Saccharomyces cerevisiae S288C: one gene and its partners. The protein of the gene in region 4 purifies or fractionates together with the protein of the main gene of each other region. This does not show direct contact. Each region holds a gene or a part of one and is shown on either strand. Other genes may lie near its edges.

What was found.
Region 1: the proteins of MAK5 (region 4) and MAK21 purify together in Saccharomyces cerevisiae (affinity purification with mass spectrometry; 5 studies listed by BioGRID). This does not show direct contact.
Region 2: the proteins of MAK5 (region 4) and NOP2 purify together in Saccharomyces cerevisiae (affinity purification with mass spectrometry; 4 studies listed by BioGRID, with this or other methods). This does not show direct contact.
Region 3: the proteins of MAK5 (region 4) and YTM1 purify together in Saccharomyces cerevisiae (affinity purification with mass spectrometry; 5 studies listed by BioGRID). This does not show direct contact.

Annotation. Positions count from the first base shown.
Region 1 is NC_001136.10:568,351-575,015, reverse strand, and holds MAK21 (RNA-binding ribosome biosynthesis protein MAK21), read right to left. Parts: upstream 4,368-6,665; coding exon 1,290-4,367; downstream 1-1,289. Other genes in the region: YDR061W (uncharacterized protein), read right to left, coding at 1-852; E2 ubiquitin-conjugating protein UBC5, read left to right, coding at 5,246-5,292, 5,383-5,782; TGL2 (triglyceride lipase), read left to right, coding at 6,313-6,665.
Region 2 is NC_001146.8:508,858-512,896, reverse strand, and holds NOP2 (rRNA (cytosine-C5-)-methyltransferase NOP2), read right to left. Parts: upstream 2,358-4,039; coding exon 501-2,357; downstream 1-500. Other genes in the region: actin-related protein ARP5, read left to right, coding at 1-229; tRNA 1-methyladenosine methyltransferase subunit GCD10, read left to right, coding at 2,685-4,039. UniProt on the Saccharomyces cerevisiae protein: S-adenosyl-L-methionine-dependent methyltransferase that specifically methylates the C(5) position of cytosine 2870 (m5C2870) in 25S rRNA. Required for 60S ribosomal subunit synthesis and processing.
Region 3 is NC_001147.6:830,836-836,072, reverse strand, and holds YTM1 (Ytm1p), read right to left. Parts: upstream 3,261-5,237; coding exon 1,878-3,260; downstream 1-1,877. Other genes in the region: TPO4 (Tpo4p), read left to right, coding at 1-1,621; FSF1 (Fsf1p), read left to right, coding at 4,031-5,014. UniProt on the Saccharomyces cerevisiae protein: Component of the NOP7 complex, which is required for maturation of the 25S and 5.8S ribosomal RNAs and formation of the 60S ribosome.
Region 4 is NC_001134.8:525,724-531,829, reverse strand, and holds MAK5 (ATP-dependent RNA helicase), read right to left. Parts: upstream 3,514-6,106; coding exon 1,192-3,513; downstream 1-1,191. Other genes in the region: SUP45 (translation termination factor eRF1), read left to right, coding at 1-961; BMT2 (25S rRNA (adenine2142-N1)-methyltransferase), read left to right, coding at 3,792-4,805; GTPase-activating protein IRA1, read left to right, coding at 5,202-6,106. UniProt on the Saccharomyces cerevisiae protein: ATP-binding RNA helicase involved in the biogenesis of 60S ribosomal subunits and is required for the normal formation of 25S and 5.8S rRNAs. Required for the maintenance of dsRNA killer plasmid.

The DNA of each region.
Region 1 (6,665 bases), on a different chromosome or scaffold from region 4:
GTTAATGGAAATGTCCTCTTTGGAATTAGACGCTTTTTTGAGCTGCTCTAGTTCTTTTAGTGCCCTTGATCTGGTTTCATCCATTTTACTTTGAAGTTTTTCGATTGGGCCTTCAAACAATATACCGTTTTTCTCATCAACGCAACATATATGAGTACACCATGCTGGAATGGTATCTTGATACCTCAAACCAATGACGATTGGACATCCGCCACTGACTTCTATACTATCATATTTGGCTAAAAATTGTGAAATGGTTGCTATTGCGGCTGGATCCAACCCTAAAAATGGGTCGTCAATAAGTAGTAGATCCGGTTCCTTGAGTATACTACGAGCTAACCTTGCTCTCCTCATTTGTCCATTACTCAATCCCATTACCCACCTATCCTGTAAACTGGAGAGGTTTAAATTTTCAACTAATGCATTGTACAGCTCCATGTTTATTTGCCGATTGTTCGTCTCAACTTTATATGAAACAGCATTTGATCCGCTTGCCTTATCAAATATAAACTGTTTGCAGGTTTGATCGTAGTCATCTTTGAAGTATTCATATCTAGCACTTAAATGAGCCGTTGGCATAACCCCTTTGAAGGCCACTTGCTCTATCCTCGGCAGGATGTTCGAACTTTCCTTCAAAAATCCAAACCTCAAAGATAATGGGGGCTCACAAATATACTTGTTATTCAGTACATCCAAGAACTTGCCCTTTCCAGGTCCCCATATAACCCATTTTTCGTTGGGTAAAATCTCGAAATGCCTAATCCTCTTAGGGTAAACAGGTGGACTGTTGCTAGCCAGTGATGACTTGAAGAGCGCATTCGTTATTCGTACAACGAACTTATTGGTACTCATAATTAAAAAATCTTTCACAGAATATTAATCAAGTATTCACAAATTTGTTTTGCTTACTGCAATTAGCTAACAGAAAATTGTCGCTACAAATGTGCCTATATAAACAAAATGGTTAAAAATGAGTTCTGGATTATTTATTTCTAATAGGAGTCACGTGGTTCCATCGTTTTTAGTTTCGTCTCACGATGTCAGCAATCTCGGCGATTTCAACTGACATAGTTGTAGCTAAAATCCGTTTCTATTTCCGCATTACTCTTTTTCCGTTTACTCCCGCTCTAATAATGTTGAAAAGCGGACATAAGTAGAGTTATCAGCAAAACTCTGATATGCGTCTTTCGCTTCAAGGTTTCGTATTGGACCGTTTTTTATTGTACAAAATTCTGTTTTCCTTATTTAATTTACAACACCGAAGTGTTTAGTTAATGTATTATTATTTTCTAGTCTGAATCTTGATCTAAATATTGAGCATAATCGTCGGCAGATGCAAATACCGGTAGACTTTTGAGCATATTCTTTCTCTGCTTCTTCTTTGCTCTTTTTGCGGATACCTCTTTATTTTCTTCTTCTTCTTTTTCTTCTTCGCTGCTCTCGTCCTCTTCACTACTTTCAGCGAAGGAACGTTTTTTATCACTATTGTCTTGTTCTCCATCGAAACTGTAAAAAATATCCTCATCGAGGCCTTCTTCTTGATCGCTTTCTTGGCTGCCTTCACTTTTAGCATCTTCATCATCAATTGCGTCCAGCTTAGGTTCATCGTCACTAGTTGAATCGCTGAAATCATCTTCAGCGAAGTCAAGTTCACTGTCGTCGCTATCATCTTCAACATCTGGTCTCGATTTAACCAAAGCACTCCAAATTTCATTTTCATCCATTTCGTCATCACTATCGAAATTAGATGCTTTGTTAGATTTCTTTCCTTTTCCATCAGCGGTTTTCTTGGTAGTGAAATATTGATAAAAGAATTTATCTTCAGGTTTGATATCTTCAACTTTTTTAGTTAGCCAGTCTTCAGTGTTCACGGGACCCTGGTCATGCATAATATCAGATGCCTTAACTAAGACAGAGTCATTAACTCGTGAGCCACTAAACAGAGGTTGCATAATAGATGTACCTCTTGCTGTATTGGTCTGCTTGGCACTTCTGTAGACAAATCTGTCAAGGAAGTGTGATAGAGTAAATAGACCCAGGTCTGGTTTAGCTATTTGCTCTGTTTCTCCTGTCACATAGGCGTTTGCATATGTTTTCACAGTAGGATGAAAATGATTGATGAAGTTGTTGATTTCCCATAAAGAAGATTTTTCAGCATTGGCGAACTTTGGATCACGCTTGCGGCCGTCGTATTCCTTCCTTTTTATGTCCTTGTCCCCTTGCTCCTCTTCTGCATCAGATTCATACTCGTAATCAACTGGCGTGTTGGTTAGAAGATTTTTTATTTGTGGAACTGTTTTAGCCAACTGGATTAATAAGAAGAAAAAACCAGTAATGGTGCCGACGTTCAACCAATGAGAACAAACTTGAAGAATTCTCTTGACAAAGGCTTCTACTCGTTCAACGTTGAGTGCATCTTGTTTTAATGATTTGTATAGTAAATTCAAGTAAATACCCTGCTTAGAAGAGTTCACCAGTCTGGGGTCAAATAAACTTTCGTATAATGTTCTATAATATCGATCACTGTTCAACTTTGCTTTGACGGTGACTTGATTAATCAAAACTAATGCTTGGATTGAGGTGTTAAAGTTAGAGGAGTGTGTGATTTTGAAAAGAGTTTCCATATGTACTTCATAGACAGACGCTGGAATCTGAGCGAATGGGAATGCACGATTGATACCTGTTAACAAAGCACTGAATAATTTTGAGTTCTTTTCATCTAAAACTTCATTTTCCGTTTTTTCGATTTTTACAGATTTACCACCGTGTTTACCCTTTTTAAAGTTCTTCTTTCTTTTCTCCTCATACGACTTTGAGTTACTCTTAACAACGCCATTGGTATTGTCTTTATCAGTATTAATCAAGAATTTTTCAAACAAAGTGAAGTATGTTTTTACTAATTTATTAGCAACAGAGTCTTCTGATCTTTTTAAGATGGTTTGGTTTAAAGTAATAACAGAATAGTAAGTGGTATGATAATCCGCATTCGGTCTCAATGCGATATCAACGATAGCATCAATGACAATAGATTTCATATTCGGATGAGCTTGTTCCAACTTCAGTAGTAAATATGACGCCTTCGAAGAAACTTTGGAATCAATATCACCAATTTTATTTACACCTAATCTCAATAAATTAAATTCCTGCTCTGGTTGGTTGGTCAATAAATCAAATACATGATTTAATATTTGTAATCTAACGTGAATAATTGGATCGTGGGAAAGCACTTCCAAGACTTCTAAAACACGAAAGAACAGTTTCTTTAAATAATCTTCGAAATAGAAAATTGCAAGAGTTTTCTTGTTTAGCATCATAGATAAGCCAGGTTGATTTTTGAAATACCTCAGCTTTCTGTTGGGCAAAAGACCATTTAAGAATAAATCCTTCAAAGCGTTTAAACTCTGTAAAGCAGAGTTTCTCGATTTTTTGCCACAATATGAAACCAGAGTTTCTAAAGACTTAGTGTTATGCAATGGCGAATCTTGAATGAGTAAAGTTACGGCAGATATTTTATCGTTGAGGGTACCGTCCGATAGGATTTGGGACATGAACTTGGCCTGCGATGAGTCCTTTGTAAACTCCTCATAGTAAGTTTGGTTGTCAGCTTCTAGCGTTTGCTTACCTCTTTCAAAAAGTTTCTCAATCTGTTCCTTGGATAATTCTTCAACATCATCATTTTGTCCAACTTGAGGATCCAATGGAATTTCATACCATGGTTTATCGTAAGGAATAATAAGTTTGTCAGATGAGATAATAGTAGTTTGAGTAATTAAACCTCCATCTTTCTCCTCTTTCTTTTCTTTCTCTGCAGATTCTGATTCTGGCTCTTGGTCTGAACTAAGATTAGCCTCTTCTACTGTGTTTTCTTCTTGTTCACTGCCATTATCGATTGACTCTTGGGAGGTTTTCTCTATTGTCGATGATGCAATGTTTGATTGTGCATGTTCCTTCTCTTGAGCGGGTATTTTAGATTCTTTGGAGCTAGTGGATTCTTCTTCTATATCGTCATCGTCTACATCTTCGAGTTTGTGTTGGTCAAATCCTACATTCTTCATGAAATTTTGAAGATCGTTCTTGAATCCCTTGTCGTCAGCATCCTCGTCAGCGACGGCATCAAATTCCTGTTCGCTCTTAGCGTCATCATCATCGCTTAATCCTTGAATCAATTTTAGATCTTCTTCGCTGGCACCCAATGCTAGTGCTTCACGACGTATGTCCTCATTTACCTTCTTTGAATTACTACTGGCCTTCACGTCCTTGCCTTTGTGGGTTTTCTTCGCCTTTTTGCTGTTATTGTCTCGCAATTTTGACGAAATCTTATTTCTTAGTGAAGACAAATCCAGCGGATTGCCGTTGTTCTCACTCATTATTTTTGATTACTGTACCAACAAAGACACTGGAGAGGTTTAATATCTATAGAAATTTATCAAACTATAGAATTTCGCTTCCGATGTGTACGACATAATGCTTTCTTATTCGCAACTCCATTACTTTGGCATCTCTGATAATTTTTTACCTCATCGCCAAAAGAAAAAATTTTTCATTCTGCAACGGGTAACGGAATACAGAGGCAAGAGAACGGAAGAACATCATATCGGCGGTTATTACTAAACAGTATATGTCCAATCGGTTTTGGAAATGAGATTTTCTTATTAATGATCTGATCTTAGATTATGTTGGGCAATACGCGTTATACAAAAGATCTGCTATTGCATGTGGTGAAAGTTATACCAACATTTTTGCTTATATGAAATCATCTGCAACAACCAATTGGATAAGGATAGATTTCTCAAATATATTAAATTATGTCTTGGTTTACTTACACAGAAAGTCCCAAAGTACAGATGAATTATACTAGGGTTGTGTTCATTGTTCCATGAGAGGCTGTACTTTTTGCCTACTTATTTTGGTACTCATTCATTAGGCTCATAAACCGATTTTTCTTATATTGTGCGTAATTCAATTAGATATCTAGATGTATTGCTAGTGCTAGTACGGTGTAAACTCTCGTAGCAAGCGCTTTTGAAGCATGGCTGTGGTGGAGGTAGTTGCCACTGCGAGCGGGTAATAAAGCGGCTGCCGCCTTACTCATTTGTACCAAAGATAGCCGACCCAAAATTATAAAAAATAATTGTATCCCGGATTTTAATAGATGGTTGGAGTTTTATTTTCCAAGGTCAGGACTGCTTATTGACTACCATCTTGAAAAGTCATTTTCTGCTCACCACCCTCAACTAAACTAAAAATGTCTTCCTCCAAGCGTATTGCCAAGGAATTAAGTGATTTAGGGAGGTATGTTAAAAATAAAATGAATGATTTTTCTTGATCTGTAAAGAAAAAGGATTACTAACATGAGTTTCTTTTTTGAACTTTTTTCCGAAGAGATCCTCCTGCTTCATGTTCAGCAGGACCTGTAGGGGATGACCTGTATCATTGGCAAGCCTCTATTATGGGTCCTTCAGACTCACCCTACGCTGGTGGCGTTTTCTTTTTGTCTATTCACTTTCCAACTGATTATCCATTCAAGCCACCGAAGGTAAACTTTACGACCAAAATTTATCATCCGAATATTAATTCGAGTGGTAATATCTGCCTTGATATTTTAAAGGACCAGTGGTCACCGGCGCTAACCCTTTCAAAAGTTTTGTTGTCTATTTGCTCTCTTTTAACAGATGCTAATCCCGACGATCCTTTGGTCCCTGAAATTGCTCAAATCTACAAGACAGATAAGGCTAAGTATGAAGCCACCGCTAAGGAGTGGACTAAAAAATATGCTGTTTGATTAATTTGGGCTAACGGATAAATTGTGTAGACTTACCTTCCTCAGCGCACACATCAATATATTATATATTCTTTACGTATACAAACACGCAAATTCTTATAGGTATAGCGATATTAGTTTGATCAATTCCCATCACGTACCTTGCTTTCTATTATTTACTCTTTCTCCTGTACCTGCTACTATCAATTAAAAAAAATTCTCCGCGACGGGGAATTGAACCCCGATCTGGCACGCGACAAGCGCCCATTCTGACCATTAAACTATCACGGAAGAAACAAAGCACTCACGATGGGGGTCGAACCCATAATCTTCTGATTAGAAGTCAGACGCGTTGCCATTACGCCACGCGAGCTACTATTTGTCGGAAAAACATTCTGATTCATCTAGCTAAATGATTGTTTAAAATATGCTAAATTTCTCACCAACCTTTTCTCATAATGAGCCTAATATGAACCGCTATTGAAAATATGTACAAGGAAGAATATAGAGAATAAAGCGTCTTGTTTTAAAGGAGGAAAAGCATAAAAAAAATGAAAAATGATAATAAAGCTAATGATATAATAATAGACTCCGTCAAAGTTCCTGATTCGTACAAGCCCCCAAAAAATCCTATTGTATTTTGCCATGGTTTATCAGGATTTGACAAATTAATTCTAATCCCTTCTGTATTCCATCTGACAAACCTAATTTCCAATTCAATAGTACATAATATGGCAGAAAATTTCATGCAGGATGACGAAGATAAGAGTGATAACAAGTACACAAATTTGTTGGAGATTGAATATTGGATTGGCGTTAAAAAATTTCTTCAATCTAAGGGATGTACTGTTATCACCACTAAGGTACCAGGTTTTGGTAGCATCGAGGAAAGAGCAATGGCTTT
Region 2 (4,039 bases), on a different chromosome or scaffold from region 4:
GAAAGAACGTATTGTGAAGGAATTCACTGGATTCCTTCCTACCGGTACCAATATCACTGTAAATATGTCTTCAGATCCTTCATTGGATGCCTGGAAGGGTATGGCAGCTCTAGCACGAAACGAAGAACAGTATAGGAAAACAGTTATCAGTAAGAAAGAATACGAAGAGTACGGTCCAGAGTACATCAAAGAGCATAAGTTAGGGAATACGAAGTATTTTGAAGACTAAGGAGACAGCAAACTGAAACGCCTTAAAAACAAAAAAAGAGAAATAAATAGAGATATATGTAATACTATATTGGCAACGAATATTAATAAGTAATATCATCGCCTTTTTTCTTAGTGCTGTTTACAAATCGGCTTTATTATTTCTATTTTGAATTTAATATACAGTGAGACATATTTGAAATTGATATATATATATATATATATATATGTAGACAGAGAAAGATTAGAGAGAGAAAACTATGCTAACATGATGCCACTACGTTTGTGGGAACTTATTTTTCGTTAGAAGGTCTTTTAGCTTTTGGATTGACACCCTTTTTCAAAAGATTGTTTTTCACAGACTTTTCAATGTACTTATCGTCTTCTTCGTCCTCGAAGGTTGCGAAGTCAGAGTGAATGATACCTTCTTCCAAAGCTTCCTTTCTAGCAGCAGTTTCCTTTTCTTTTGCACTTGCTTGGTTATCATCAAACGAAGATGGACCGATCTTTTGGAATTTAGCGACAAAGAACCCATCGACGTTGTACGTATGTGGATAGTACCTCCTCGCTAATTTCACACTAGGATGAAACTTTTTGCCTCTGTAACTAGTAAACGCTTCTTTACCGATCGCTAAACCAGTATCGACTAACTTGACATTCGGTCTTTTTCTCAATGCATAGTCTATGACAGCTTCGTCCTCTTCCACTGCAACAGAACATGTCGAATATACTATTACACCACCATGTTTCGAGTTGCAATCAACAGAATCAATGGCGGATAGAAGCAATTGTTTTTGTAGATGTGGAATTTGAATGAAGTCCTTCTCGGTACGAGACACCTTGACAGATTGATCCTTACCGATAACACCAGTACCGGAACATGGGGCATCCAGTAAAATTCTGTCAAAACCTCCAATTACCTTAGGGAACTCACGGGCATCGTAATTGCATACAATAGTGTTGGTACAGCCTAGACGGTGGATATTAGCAATTAAAGATTTTGTTCTAGATTTATTGGCGTCGTTAGCGAAAACACAACCTGTGTTTTTCATCATAGCTGATATATAAGTGGTCTTACCACCTGGAGCAGCTGCCATATCCAAGATACGCTCATTTTCATGAGGATCTAGAGCAATAACTGGTAGAAAAGATGATGCCGCTTGTAAAATATAGTGACCTGCCAAATATTCTGGCGTAGCACCAATTGGGACTTGGGAATCGAATATTTGAAGACCAACTTTAGTCCAAGAACCAATAGGTTGTAGATTAACACCTCTATTCACAAGAGTTTGAGCTAAGTCTCTCCTTCTGGTCTTCAAGGTGTTGGTTCTGATGGTTATTGGTCTTGCAATTTCATTGGCTTCGAAAAACTCCATCGCCTCTGCTGGTGAGAATAGATTGAATAACTTTTCCGCCAAAAATGGTGTATAACCAAAGTACTCACAAATATCTTTCAAAAGTCTGTCAACGTATTCTCCTCTCGATCTGCCTTCTGCACCAAGAGTCTTAAAATTTTCCAAAACCTTTACAATTTCAATCATTCTTGTTCTTGTGGAAGTTAAATTAGGAGTTTCTTGTGCCATCATTTCTTCCTGCTCCTCAGTGGGCAATATGTCTGCTCTTGGTTGCATGTTCTCCGCTTCCACTAACTCCATTTCGGCTTCTTCAGCTTCTTCAGCTTCTTCTTCATCAAGTTTCTTAGAAAGAGCTTCCATGTTTTGTGCATTTAGTTCTTCAAGATCAGCCTCATCGTCGTCATCTGAAAAAATTGGGTGGGCGTCATTATCTTCATCTTCATCGTAATCATATTCTTGTTCCAAGTCAAATTCATCTTTTAGTTCTTCATCCACCAATCCTGCTTCATCGTCATCTTCTTCATCATCAAATAAAGATTTCCTGGCTTTTGATAATTCTTCAAGATCAACTTCTGGCAAATCCTTATCCTCTTCAACAACTTCTTCCTCCTCTTTTCTAGATTTCTTGAATGGCTTCGACTTCTTTTTCTTTCTATCAGAAACTTCATCCCCTTGCGTGGTAGAAGGTCTCTTTCCTTTTTCTAGCTTTCTATTAGCCTTCTTTTCCTTTCTTGCCTGAAACTCCTCCAGGGTTGGTGGGGCGGCTTGCTTGTTCTTATGACGTCTACTACCCATTTCCTATTATATGTATATGTAATTCTAATATTAGCCAACACAAGGGGAATTCCGCCAGAATTACAAATCTATATACCTTAGCGACAACTGTATTTGCAGCTCAGCTCATCTTAAACTTATTCTGCGATGAGATGAAAATTTTTTTCAGAAAACGTGAAACTGGGTAACGGTTTTGTAAAATCTGAAAAATTTCATCAAAAAAAAAAAAAAAGTCGATGAGGTGTATAATAACAATAATAATATTCAACTTTAAATTCTTTGGCACGTTGGATCCTACTCACATTGTTGCAAACGAATTGGACAAAAAAACTTTGAATTTAGTGCACAATGAATGCTTTGACAACCATAGATTTTAATCAGCACGTTATCGTCCGGCTGCCATCAAAAAATTACAAGATAGTGGAACTAAAGCCCAACACCTCTGTATCATTAGGAAAATTCGGTGCTTTCGAGGTTAATGACATAATTGGTTATCCTTTCGGGTTGACTTTCGAGATATATTATGATGGCGAAGAGGTTTCATCCGATGAAAATAGAGATTCGAAACCAAAGAACAAAATTCCCATCGGGAAAGTAAGGCTATTATCGCAGGAGATCAAAGATGTCAATAATGATAAAGACGATGGTCAAAGCGAGCCTCCTTTATCTATTAAGGAAAAATCTGTGTCTCTTGAATTGTCTAGCATTGACAGCAGTGCTACGAATCAGAATCTGGTTAACATGGGCAGCAAGGCCCAAGAGTTAACCGTTGAAGAAATTGAAAAAATGAAACAAGAATCTTTATCTAGTAAAGAAATAATCGACAAAATTATCAAATCTCACAAAAGTTTTCACAACAAGACCGTATATTCTCAAGAGAAATATGTGAATAGGAAGAAACAAAAATTCGCCAAGTACTTCACCGTTGAGTATTTAAGTAGCTCTAACCTTTTACAATTCTTAATCGACAAAGGCGATATCCAAAGGGTATTGGATATGTCTCAGGAATCGATGGGGATGCTGTTAAATCTTGCGAACATCCAATCAGAAGGCAACTATCTCTGTATGGATGAAACGGGTGGGTTATTGGTTTACTTTCTGTTGGAAAGAATGTTTGGCGGTGACAATGAAAGCAAATCCAAGGGCAAAGTCATAGTTATTCACGAAAATGAACATGCCAACTTGGATTTGCTGAAGTTTGCTAATTATTCTGAGAAATTTATTAAAGAGCATGTACACACCATTTCTCTATTAGATTTTTTTGAACCGCCTACACTACAAGAGATTCAGAGCAGATTTACACCATTACCTAAAGAAGAAGCCCGTGCATTAAAAGGTGGTAAGAAAAACTCGTACTACCGAAAACTCAGATGGTACAATACACAATGGCAAATTTTAGAACTAACAGGAGAATTCCTATATGACGGTCTTGTAATGGCTACTACACTACATTTACCAACACTAGTGCCAAAGTTGGCCGAAAAAATCCATGGTTCAAGGCCGATTGTATGCTATGGTCAATTCAAAGAAACTTTGTTGGAATTAGCTCATACTTTATATTCAGACCTCAGGTTTTTAGCACCATCAATTTTGGAAACTAGATGTAGGCCGTACCAAAGTATAAGGGGTAAGCTACACCCTCTGATGACCATGAAAGGTGGTGGTGGATATCTAATGTGGTGTCACAGAGTCATCCCTGCTCC
Region 3 (5,237 bases), on a different chromosome or scaffold from region 4:
AGAAAGATATCACGTTAGTCAGACTTTGGCGCTTGCTGGTTTAACTTTCTATCTTCTGGGTTTATCGACTGTCATCGGCGCTCCATTAAGTGAAGTGTTTGGTCGTAAGCCTGTCTATTTATTTTCCCTACCTGTGTCAATGCTTTTCACCATGGGTGTTGGGTTATCCAATGGCCACATGAGAATAATTCTACCCCTAAGGTTTTTATCAGGTGTCTTTGCATCCCCCGCCTTATCCGTTGGATCAGGTACCATCCTGGATATCTTTGACGTGGACCAGGTCTCCGTCGCAATGACATACTTTGTTCTATCTCCATTCTTAGGGCCAGTTTTATCTCCTATTATGGCAGGATTTGCTACTGAAGCCAAAGGCTGGCGTTGGTCTGAATGGATCCAATTGATTGCGGGCGGTCTAATCTTGCCATTTATTGCGCTCATGCCAGAGACCCATAAAGGTATTATTTTAAGAAAGCGTGCCAAGAAGAGAAATATAGCCTTGAAGAAGTTCAGCAGGGAAGCTCAGAAAGAATTTTTAAAAACCACTGTCACTATTACAATCTTAAGGCCTTTAAAAATGCTTGTCGTTGAACCTATTGTATTTGTTTTCAGTGTTTATGTCGCTTTCATATTCGCCATTTTATTTGGATTTTTCGAAGCATACGCTGTCATTTATCGTGGTGTTTACCACATGTCTATGGGGATATCTGGCTTGCCATTTATTGGTATTGGTGTCGGGTTATGGATAGGTGCTTTCTTTTACCTTTACATCGACAGAAAATATCTCTTCCCTAAACCACCAGCTGGCACTCAACCACTCACCGAAAAAGAGAGAACTTCTAAAAGGACTACCCCTTACAGAGGTGCAAGAGACGCTGAAACAGGTGAATTGCTACCCGTTGTTCCAGAAAAATTTTTAATTGCCTGTAAATTTGGTTCTGTAGCTTTGCCTATCGGCCTGTTTTGGCAAGCCTGGACTGCTAGATCAGATGTCCACTGGATGGCTCCTGTGGCTGCCGGTGTGCCATTTGGTTTTGGTTTAATTTTGATTTTTTTCAGCGTTTTAATGTACTTCTCTACATGCTATCCGCCATTAACTGTGGCATCCTGTTTGGCTGCCAATAATCTATTAAGATACGTTATGAGTAGTGTATTCCCATTGTTTACCATCCAAATGTACACAAAGATGAAAATCAAATGGGCAAGCACTTTATTTGCATTAGTTTGCGTTGTGATGATTCCAATTCCATGGGTTTTTGAAAAATGGGGGAGCAAATTAAGACACAAGTCACAATTTGGTTATGCCGCCATGGAAAAGGAGGCTGAGACCGAAGGTGGTATAGATGACGTAAATGCTGTCGATGGTGAATTGAATCTAACAAGGATGACCACGTTAAGGACCATGGAAACAGACCCTTCGACTAGAGAAAAACCAGGTGAAAGGCTATCTCTGCGCAGGACCCATACGCAGCCCGTTCCTGCCTCGTTTGATCGCGAGGACGGGCAACATGCGCAAAATCGTAATGAACCCATTTCCAATAGTTTATACTCAGCTATCAAGGATAATGAAGACGGTTATTCGTATACGGAAATGGCCACCGATGCTTCCGCCAGAATGGTTTGAAAAGGTCTTAAGACAGATCACAATTGCATATATTCAAATAGTAAATTGGGGGATAGCTGGATAAAATTCACCAATTTAAATTTATAGAAGTTTCATACAAGTACACATTATCATAGAAGTATTTTTTTTTTTAGCAAGTAATGTCGTTTTACATAAAGAAGAAGGTGACAGAAATTTGCGAAAGCTGTTGGCAAAACCAAATTTATTTCAAGTATATCAGTACATTATTCTACATAAAAACAACAACAGTTTTTTCTCAGTTTTTGAAAATGTTGTCTCCTTTATTTATTTGAATCTTTTTGTCTTGACCAGCGCTGATAATACCCACTTTTTCAGCCCATTTGACAGCAAAAACTTTGTCATTGACGCCCTTTTGGACCGATTTGTCTTCTCTTGTTATGGTGTACATCGGAGAAGTAGACCTGACGTCCCATACCTTCACGGTACCATCGTGAGAACCCGAGCATAATATATACTCATTCTCGGGACAAGTGTCCAGAGAGGAAACGAAGTTCTTATGACCAATTAGTTGTTGCTGAGTAACTTTGGAAGACGCTCCCACACGTGGGTCATGCAATGTGATGTGTCTGGCGCTGGACCCACATGCTAACAAGTTCAAAGTCGACAATTGAGCAATGGAAAGCAACGAGTACGATGTTGTTCTTGTATCTATACATCTCGCGGTGACCAAATCCCATGTCTTGATGGTATGATCTTGTGATACTGAATAACCAACGGTATTATCTGTAGAATCGAAGATCACTTGCTCAACAGGAGCTGTATGGGATTCTAACAGAGACAGAGGGGCACGTCTTCTAATGGTACCATCTTTCATTGTCAATTTTCTCCTTTTTCTAGCAGCAGTGGATATTTTATTGTTTGGATTGTTTATATCTTCTAATGGATCAACAACTGTCATTTCCTTATAAATAGTAGACCAGAACCCAATAGAATTGTCGTATGATGCAGATAATATTCTTGAGTTGTCTGAAACATCAATAGAGACTACTGGTGCCTTATGACCTTCCAAGATAGCCAGTGTCTTACCGTCCTCTATGTTTACTTCGTCATCATCGTCTTCCTGTGCCTGTTGTTGTGAAGTTAATTTCAAATCATCGTTTTTGGTTTTCCATAATCTCAAAGTACGGTCGTTACCAGCCGAAACTAGCCTTGTATTGGAAATGTATTTTACTGCACGGATTGGGCCAGAATGACCACTGTACTGCTTTTGCACATTACCTGATAAATCCCAGGTGCGAACTATACCATCGTAAGAACCACTAATAATATGCTTGGAACCGTCGCCGACATCCAATGAGCTAACCCAGTCCTCATTGCTGAAACTATTCAAATAGGATGGTGGAAGAATTGCCCTGGTATATTCTACATTCAGCGAGGCTTCGCTCGATAAACCTTTCTTGGTCAAATAGTCGTGCAATGAAGTACGTAACAATTCACCTTCAATCAAGAAATCGAAAGGAACAGGCTTTTCCGAGCCCAACAAGTGATTGACAATTTCGGACAACCCATATCTCTTTAATGAGATGGGGGCGTACATTGGAGTATCTTGTACATGTAGTAATTCATCTTTCTCACGCGTGAAAAACCTGATTTTAACCTGCGATTTATCTTCTGTCATATTGAATTTGTGCAGTTTCCCTTGGTATTGTCTTTAAAACTTTAGGTAACGTATTGGTTCTGCGAACATAGAATATGTCTTTTTGCAATTATACAGATGAGCATATGCCTTTCACTGCTCCTACGGTTTGCGATGAGATGAGCACTTCAGAAAATTTTTGAAAAATTTTTGAAGTACTGGCCGGGTAACAGAAAACTGTCAAACCCTCTTGTGCAAGAAATAAGCTAAAGTTCTCCCTAAGAATAAAATAGTAAAGGAAGCTATTGCTACAGATAAATATAAATGAATGAAAGATATCTCACTCGCGCAGCTACCGATCTGGGCCAATGGGAGACACTAAAAGAAGCACCTGTGAGAAGCGCCCAGAACAGTATGAGGACGCTCATGAGTGTGGGAGTTGCTCTAGCTCTTCTTTTCCCCTCTGATCACCTACGGATGTAAGATGGCACAGTGAATAGAAGGCATGTTTAATATGTATCATGCCTTCTTCGGAACCGAAAATCAAAGATAACTAAAAAATGAAAGAAGAGTAATACTAGAAAAATGATCGCTGCCTCGGCGCTTTTTATACCAATGGTGCCCGAGACGAACGAAAAGTTTTTCTTTCGTACTGGCGTCCGGTACCGGAGCGTACCAGATTGAGGTAATTGGATAAGAGACTGTTAGGTCTTCGCATCAGCTTTACAGTTTTCAAAGGCGTCGACCACTGCAAGTTAGCAATAATAAAACCACACAGCATCGAAAGAAAAAAATAAACAAGGCAGAGAAATATGGCATCATCAGTCCCAGGGCCCATCGATTTGCCCGAATCCCGCTATGACTTATCCACGTATTGGGGTAGAATCCGCCATTGCGCAGAGATTTCCGACCCCACTATGTTGTTAACTACTGAGAAGGACCTGGCGCATGCTAGAGAAATCATCAGTGCGTATCGTCACGGTGAACTAAAAGAGACTACTCCGGAGTTCTGGCGAGCCAAGAAACAACTGGACTCCACCGTGCATCCGGACACAGGGAAGACAGTTCTTTTGCCCTTCCGTATGTCTTCCAACGTGCTATCAAACCTAGTCGTTACTGTAGGTATGCTGACGCCTGGTTTGGGTACGGCAGGGACTGTATTTTGGCAATGGGCAAATCAATCGCTAAACGTCGCCGTTAATTCCGCTAACGCAAACAAATCTCATCCTATGTCCACGTCCCAATTGCTCACCAATTACGCTGCCGCTGTAACTGCGTCGTGTGGTGTTGCGTTAGGTCTAAATAACCTAGTTCCCAGGTTGAAAAACATTTCTCCACATTCAAAGTTGATCTTGGGCCGTTTGGTGCCATTTGCCGCCGTGGTCAGTGCCGGTATTGTCAACGTCTTCCTAATGAGAGGCAACGAAATTAGAAAGGGTATTTCTGTGTTTGACTCTAACGGTGACGAAGTCGGAAAGTCCAAGAAGGCTGCCTTCATGGCAGTTGGTGAAACTGCATTAAGTAGAGTGATTAACGCCACTCCAACTATGGTCATCCCACCTTTGATTTTGGTTAGACTACAACGCGGTGTCCTCAAAGGTAAGTCTCTCGGTGTGCAAACTTTGGCCAATTTGGGGTTGATCTCAGTCACAATGTTCTCAGCTTTGCCATTTGCACTCGGTATCTTCCCTCAAAGACAAGCAATCCATTTAAATAAACTAGAACCTGAACTACATGGCAAGAAGGATAAGGATGGGAAGCCAATTGAAAAGGTCTATTTTAACAGAGGTATTTAGAAGTGAAGAGACAAATTTATATAGTTATAGAATAAATATCAGATAGATAAGAAAAAAAAATTAGTTAAACATTAATATATATATATGTGTAGTGACTGACATACGTATGACTGCTAGTAATCCAGTTGCCGAGCTATTGTTGCAGATTGAAATGTCATCACGTGGACATTATATCATCATTAACGACTAATGCGTCAAAAAAAAAATGGGCTAAAAAAAAAAA
Region 4 (6,106 bases):
CACATCCTTATATTTGTGTGATAACAAATTTCATACAGAAGTTCTTTCGGAATTGCTTCAAGCTGACGACAAGTTCGGTTTTATAGTCATGGACGGTCAAGGTACTTTGTTTGGTTCTGTGTCCGGTAATACGAGAACTGTTTTACATAAATTTACTGTCGATCTGCCAAAAAAGCATGGTAGAGGTGGTCAATCTGCGCTTCGTTTTGCTCGTTTAAGAGAAGAAAAAAGACATAATTATGTGAGAAAGGTCGCCGAAGTTGCTGTTCAAAATTTTATTACTAATGACAAAGTCAATGTTAAGGGTTTAATTTTAGCTGGTTCTGCTGACTTTAAGACCGATTTGGCTAAATCTGAATTATTCGATCCAAGACTAGCATGTAAGGTTATTTCCATCGTGGATGTTTCTTATGGTGGTGAAAACGGTTTCAACCAGGCTATCGAACTTTCTGCCGAAGCGTTGGCCAATGTCAAGTATGTTCAAGAAAAGAAATTATTGGAGGCATATTTTGACGAAATTTCCCAGGACACTGGTAAATTCTGTTATGGTATAGATGATACTTTAAAGGCATTGGATTTAGGTGCAGTCGAAAAATTAATTGTTTTCGAAAATTTGGAAACTATCAGATATACATTTAAAGATGCCGAGGATAATGAGGTTATAAAATTCGCTGAACCAGAAGCCAAGGACAAGTCGTTTGCTATTGACAAAGCTACCGGCCAAGAAATGGACGTTGTCTCCGAAGAACCTTTAATTGAATGGCTAGCAGCTAACTACAAAAACTTCGGTGCTACCTTGGAATTCATCACAGACAAATCTTCAGAAGGTGCCCAATTTGTCACAGGTTTTGGTGGTATTGGTGCCATGCTGCGTTACAAAGTTAATTTTGAACAACTAGTTGATGAATCTGAGGATGAATATTATGACGAAGATGAAGGATCCGACTATGATTTCATTTAAATAAATAAAAGGGGGAGAAAAAAATCGAATCAAAAAGAATTTAATCACTAGATGCCAGATTTAAATTAAATTCGCTTTTAATTTTTTGTACAATATAATATATACTTGGTAAACCTTTTGCTCTATATTGAGCTAATTCCTTTGTTGAAAGTACATAGTGGGTTTAGAGGACCGTGTATATTACGTAGAAAATACAGTGAAAGGAGAGTTTCTCTTCAAAAGCCTCGAGATTAATTATTTCTCTTTTTCTTTTTCTTCAAAGTTTCTAAGGCGTTTGTCTTTTCATGACCAATGATAGAATTATGACCTCTTTTTTTGACCAAGTTATCAGCTAAATTCACTAGCCCACCTGTCAAATATTTCTGTCTTCTATCTTTACGTATAGGCACTGATAACAATTCGTTCAACGTAGCTCTCATGGCTTTTACCTTGTCCTTATTTATAGTCTTCTGCATTTTTTTATTTTTATTTTTTAGTAAGAAAGTGTCCGAATTACTCTTTGATATATCGTCTTCGTCGGAATCAACGTCAATACCTAATTCATCAGCAGCCTTTTTTAACCAATTGTCATCTTTTCTTAGGGAATTAGAAGCAATTTCATGATCAGCCAGTTCGCCTGCTAATCTACTTCTTTCTCTGAGTTGTGAAAGTATATCGGTTTCAATTGGTAACAAAGGCACAGTGTTTTGCCACTTGATGGGTTTTCTGTTAGTTGATCTAGAGTTCAAATCCGTCGAAACACTATTTTTTGTAGCGAGAGTTTTTCTTAACTTTCTTAATGGGCCCATAGATTCTTGAGGTGAGCATATCATGGCAGAGACACCTTCAGAACCTGCTCTTGCAGTTCTGCCTGATCTATGAATATAAATATCAGTAGATCTTGGTAAGTGGTAATGAATAACGTGTTGAACACCCGGAATATCTAAACCTCTAGCAGCAACATCACTTGCAATCAATACTGTTGAGAGTTGAACGGAATCCGGATTCGAATGATTTATTGTTTTCTGTTTAGCGCTTTGTTGCTTGAACCTTTCTAAGCTTTTCAAACGGTTCTTTTGTGTCATGGAAGAATGAATTTGAAAAGCTGGGATGCCTAGGTTATTTAAGTATACGGTCAATTTCTTCACGGAGTCAATGGCATTACAAAAGATCAAAGTTGTACCTGGGAACATGGTTAAAAAGTAATAGCAGTATAGGTCACGTTCTAATGGAGGACATTCAATTAAGGATTCTTTGATTTGAGAGCTCACTTTTGACTCAGGATTTGTATCTATTATAACCGGCTTTGAGTTGAAGTGAATTTTGCTCATTAAGTGTTGTATTACGGCATTTAGCTCATCTTCGTTGTTTTTAAACCTTCTATCCTTAACTTGACGGGAAGAAGATAGCTTATCAAACAAGTCGATGGAGAATGTTGCAGAAAAGATCAAAGTTTGCCAAATTTTGCTACTGCCCTCGGAGTTTTCTCTGTTTTTCCTTCTTTCTACTAATAAATGTTTAATGATTTTTTCGAACTCGTCGAAATGACCGTCTTGTAACAGCCTATCAGCCTCATCAAGGATTAGCGTATTTACTTTCGAGAATCTTTTGATTAAAGTGTTGTCTTTTTCCAACAGTTCCAAAAATCTACCTGGTGTTGCGATGACAATTTGGCCACTATTATCGTACTTTAATAGACGTTGTTGTTTTTGGATAGAGAGTCCACCTGTCAAAGATAATATCGAGTACTGAGATTTCGCTAGAACAGGCTCACAGATCTTTTTTAAGTGGTCTGTGACTTGATGCGCCAGTTCTCTTGTAGGAGTAAAGATTAACGATATTGGTTTCTTGTTTTTCTGAGAGAAGTTACTGATCAGTTTCTCTACAATTGGAATACCATAGGCTAAAGTTTTACCTGAACCTGTAGAGGCTTTCCCCATGACGTCTACGCCTTGCATAATAACTGGAATAGACTTTTTTTGAATTTCTGTAGGTCTGAGAAAATTTAAATTCTGCAAGCTCTGCAAAATAGTCATTGAGAGAGGTGCAAGATTCGTCCATTCAGGTAAATTTACAGGAGAAATATCATCGATATTAATGTCTTTGTTAAAGACGTTTTCTTTCAAAACATCCTCATCCACATCCTCATCCACATCCTCACTGGGATCGGTTAACTTTGAACTCTCAATATTACCTTGCTCATCCTCGTCGGATGATGAATAAGATGCTGCACTCAACTCTCCTTCTTTAATATCGTCCAAGTTCTTGAATTCAAGGAGCTCGGACTCCGAATCTGACCCTGATTCATTTTCCACAGATTCCTGATCATCTCCGACTTTTTCCTTATTGCTATCTTTTAACACTTTTGAATCTTTTTTGGTGACGAAAGTTACTTTACCATCCACGACTTTAACGTCCACTCCGTCAATTTCTTCCAAGCCATAAAATCCACCAAAGTCATCTAAAGTGTCCGGAATATCTACTGGTTTCCAGTTCAATTTGGATTCATCTACAATTATCTCCTGTGGCTTTGTGACCGTTTTTCCTTTTTGAGGAGCCCTTTTCTTACCCATGATGGAAAAACTGATTATGCCGGTATTTGACTAAAGAATTTCTACCTGAGGTTATGATGATAATGATGGGCAGGTTGGCGAATATAACTTTTTTAGATGGAAATTCTTATAAGCTCATCGCTGGAAAAGTTTTTCAGAGAAAAAGAAAAGTACGGACTAACTAACCTTGAGGCGGGTTTGTGAGGTGAAAAAAAATATAACAATTATAATATCGATGAGCTAGCCATGACCTTGATGGCAATCTTGTATCAGCTTAGCGATACCACTAATACAGCGGAATGCATTCAAGAAAGTCGAAGAGTATTACGGGCAAGAGGAAGCAAGTAGGAAGTAACGTGACGAGAGTAATCAAGCCACAGAAGACAAGAAGGATAATAAGAAGATTCCACCATTTAATTAATAAGCGTCAATCGATATGCAAGTTTTTATGCCTTAAGGAAAACCTAGATGATTCCAACGAGGAGAAGAATGACAAAATTATCAGGTTAAGTATTAAAGGTAATGTAAGACTGGGCAAGTACTATGAAGACGGCAAATCGCAGTCCTTCAATGATGCTATGGAATCACAACTACTGAGGCTGCACTCATTAATTAAAAATGAATCCAAATCAAAGGATACTTCTGACTTGGCTGTGATGTACACATTACTTGGTTACATAATGAATCAGATTAATAAATTGGGAGGACTAGAAACTTACCAAATTGCCAGTCAAAACGGGCAATTGAAGGAACGAGGAGGAGACACGTCCAAGTTGCTCGAGAAATGGATCAGGTCCTCATTTGAAAATTGTCCTGGAGCAGTGGCATTAGAAATTGGTTCATTGAGCTCCGGAAATCGCATATCCCGTTGTGCACTTTTTAGAAATGTGGTTCGTATAGATTTAGAGGAACATGAAGGCGTTATTAAGCAGGATTTTATGGAAAGACCGCTACCGAGAAATGAAAACGACAAATTCGACCTGATATCATGCTCTCTAGTGCTAAATTTTGTCAAAAATCACAGGGATCGCGGTGCAATGTGCCATCGCATGGTCAAATTTCTCAAGCCGCAAGGCTACATCTTTATTGTTCTGCCACAAGCCTGTGTGACGCACTCAAGATACTGCGACAAAACACTGTTACAAAACCTCCTCGGCTCTATCGGGCTCATAATGCTTAATAGCCATCAAAGTAATAAGTTGTACTATTGTTTGTATCAATTGCAGGTAGTTCCACCGCAGCCGAGTAGCTTTTCCAAAAGAATCAAGGTTAACGACGGCCCTGGGTTGAACAATTTTGGTATTACCCTCTAAGCGAGCCGACACCGCCTGGAAGTTTTTCATAAAGGGATACAATATAGAAAGATGTGTAAAAACGTTAAGTAAAAGATGAGCAAATGAACAGTGTTCGAAGGAGAATAACAAGAGTTACTGCTCATATAAAACTAATATACTAAAGGTTTTCGCTTTGTATTACGATTGAAACAATTAACTGTTTTTTTTTTTTCCGCTTATTACACAGTACCGGTTTCATTTACGCCTTTGATCATTTTATTGGCATTGGGCTCATAGTAGTTTTCAGCGCGTGGTTAAGCTATTTAACGAAAGCGTATAAAGTCAAGTGATCATCTTTTGCCCTGCAAATAGAGCTTCAAACTTAACATTCTTCTTCAGCATATAACATACAACAAGATTAAGGCTCTTTCTAAAATGAATCAAAGCGATCCGCAAGACAAAAAAAATTTCCCAATGGAATACTCTTTGACCAAGCATCTTTTTTTTGATAGGCTTCTACTTGTTCTTCCCATAGAATCTAATTTGAAAACATATGCTGATGTGGAGGCAGATTCAGTTTTCAATTCGTGTCGGTCCATCATTTTGAATATAGCCATCACTAAGGACTTGAACCCGATTATCGAAAACACATTAGGTTTAATTGACTTGATTGTGCAAGATGAAGAAATTACGTCTGACAATATTACAGATGATATTGCCCATTCTATATTGGTTCTTTTGAGATTACTGAGTGATGTTTTTGAGTATTACTGGGATCAAAACAATGACTTCAAGAAAATTAGAAACGATAATTACAAACCGGGATTTTCAAGTCACAGGCCAAACTTCCATACATCTAGGCCAAAGCACACGAGAATCAATCCAGCTTTGGCGACGATGTTACTATGTAAAATTTCTAAGCTGAAGTTCAATACAAGAACTTTAAAGGTTTTACAGAACATGTCTCACCATCTTTCTGGCAGCGCTACTATCTCAAAATCGAGTATTTTACCCGATTCACAGGAATTTTTACAAAAGAGAAACTATCCAGCATATACCGAGAAAATAGATTTAACAATAGATTATATCCAGAGATTCATATCTGCTTCCAATCATGTTGAATTCACAAAGTGTGTCAAAACAAAAGTTGTTGCACCTTTATTGATATCACACACCTCAACCGAATTGGGCGTAGTAAACCACTTGGATTTATTTGGTTGTGAGTATTTGACTGATAAGAATCTGCTAGCATATCTGGACATACTACAACACCTGTCAAGTTACATGAAGAGGACCATTTTTCATTCGCTTTTGTTATATTATGCTTCCAAAGCTTTTTT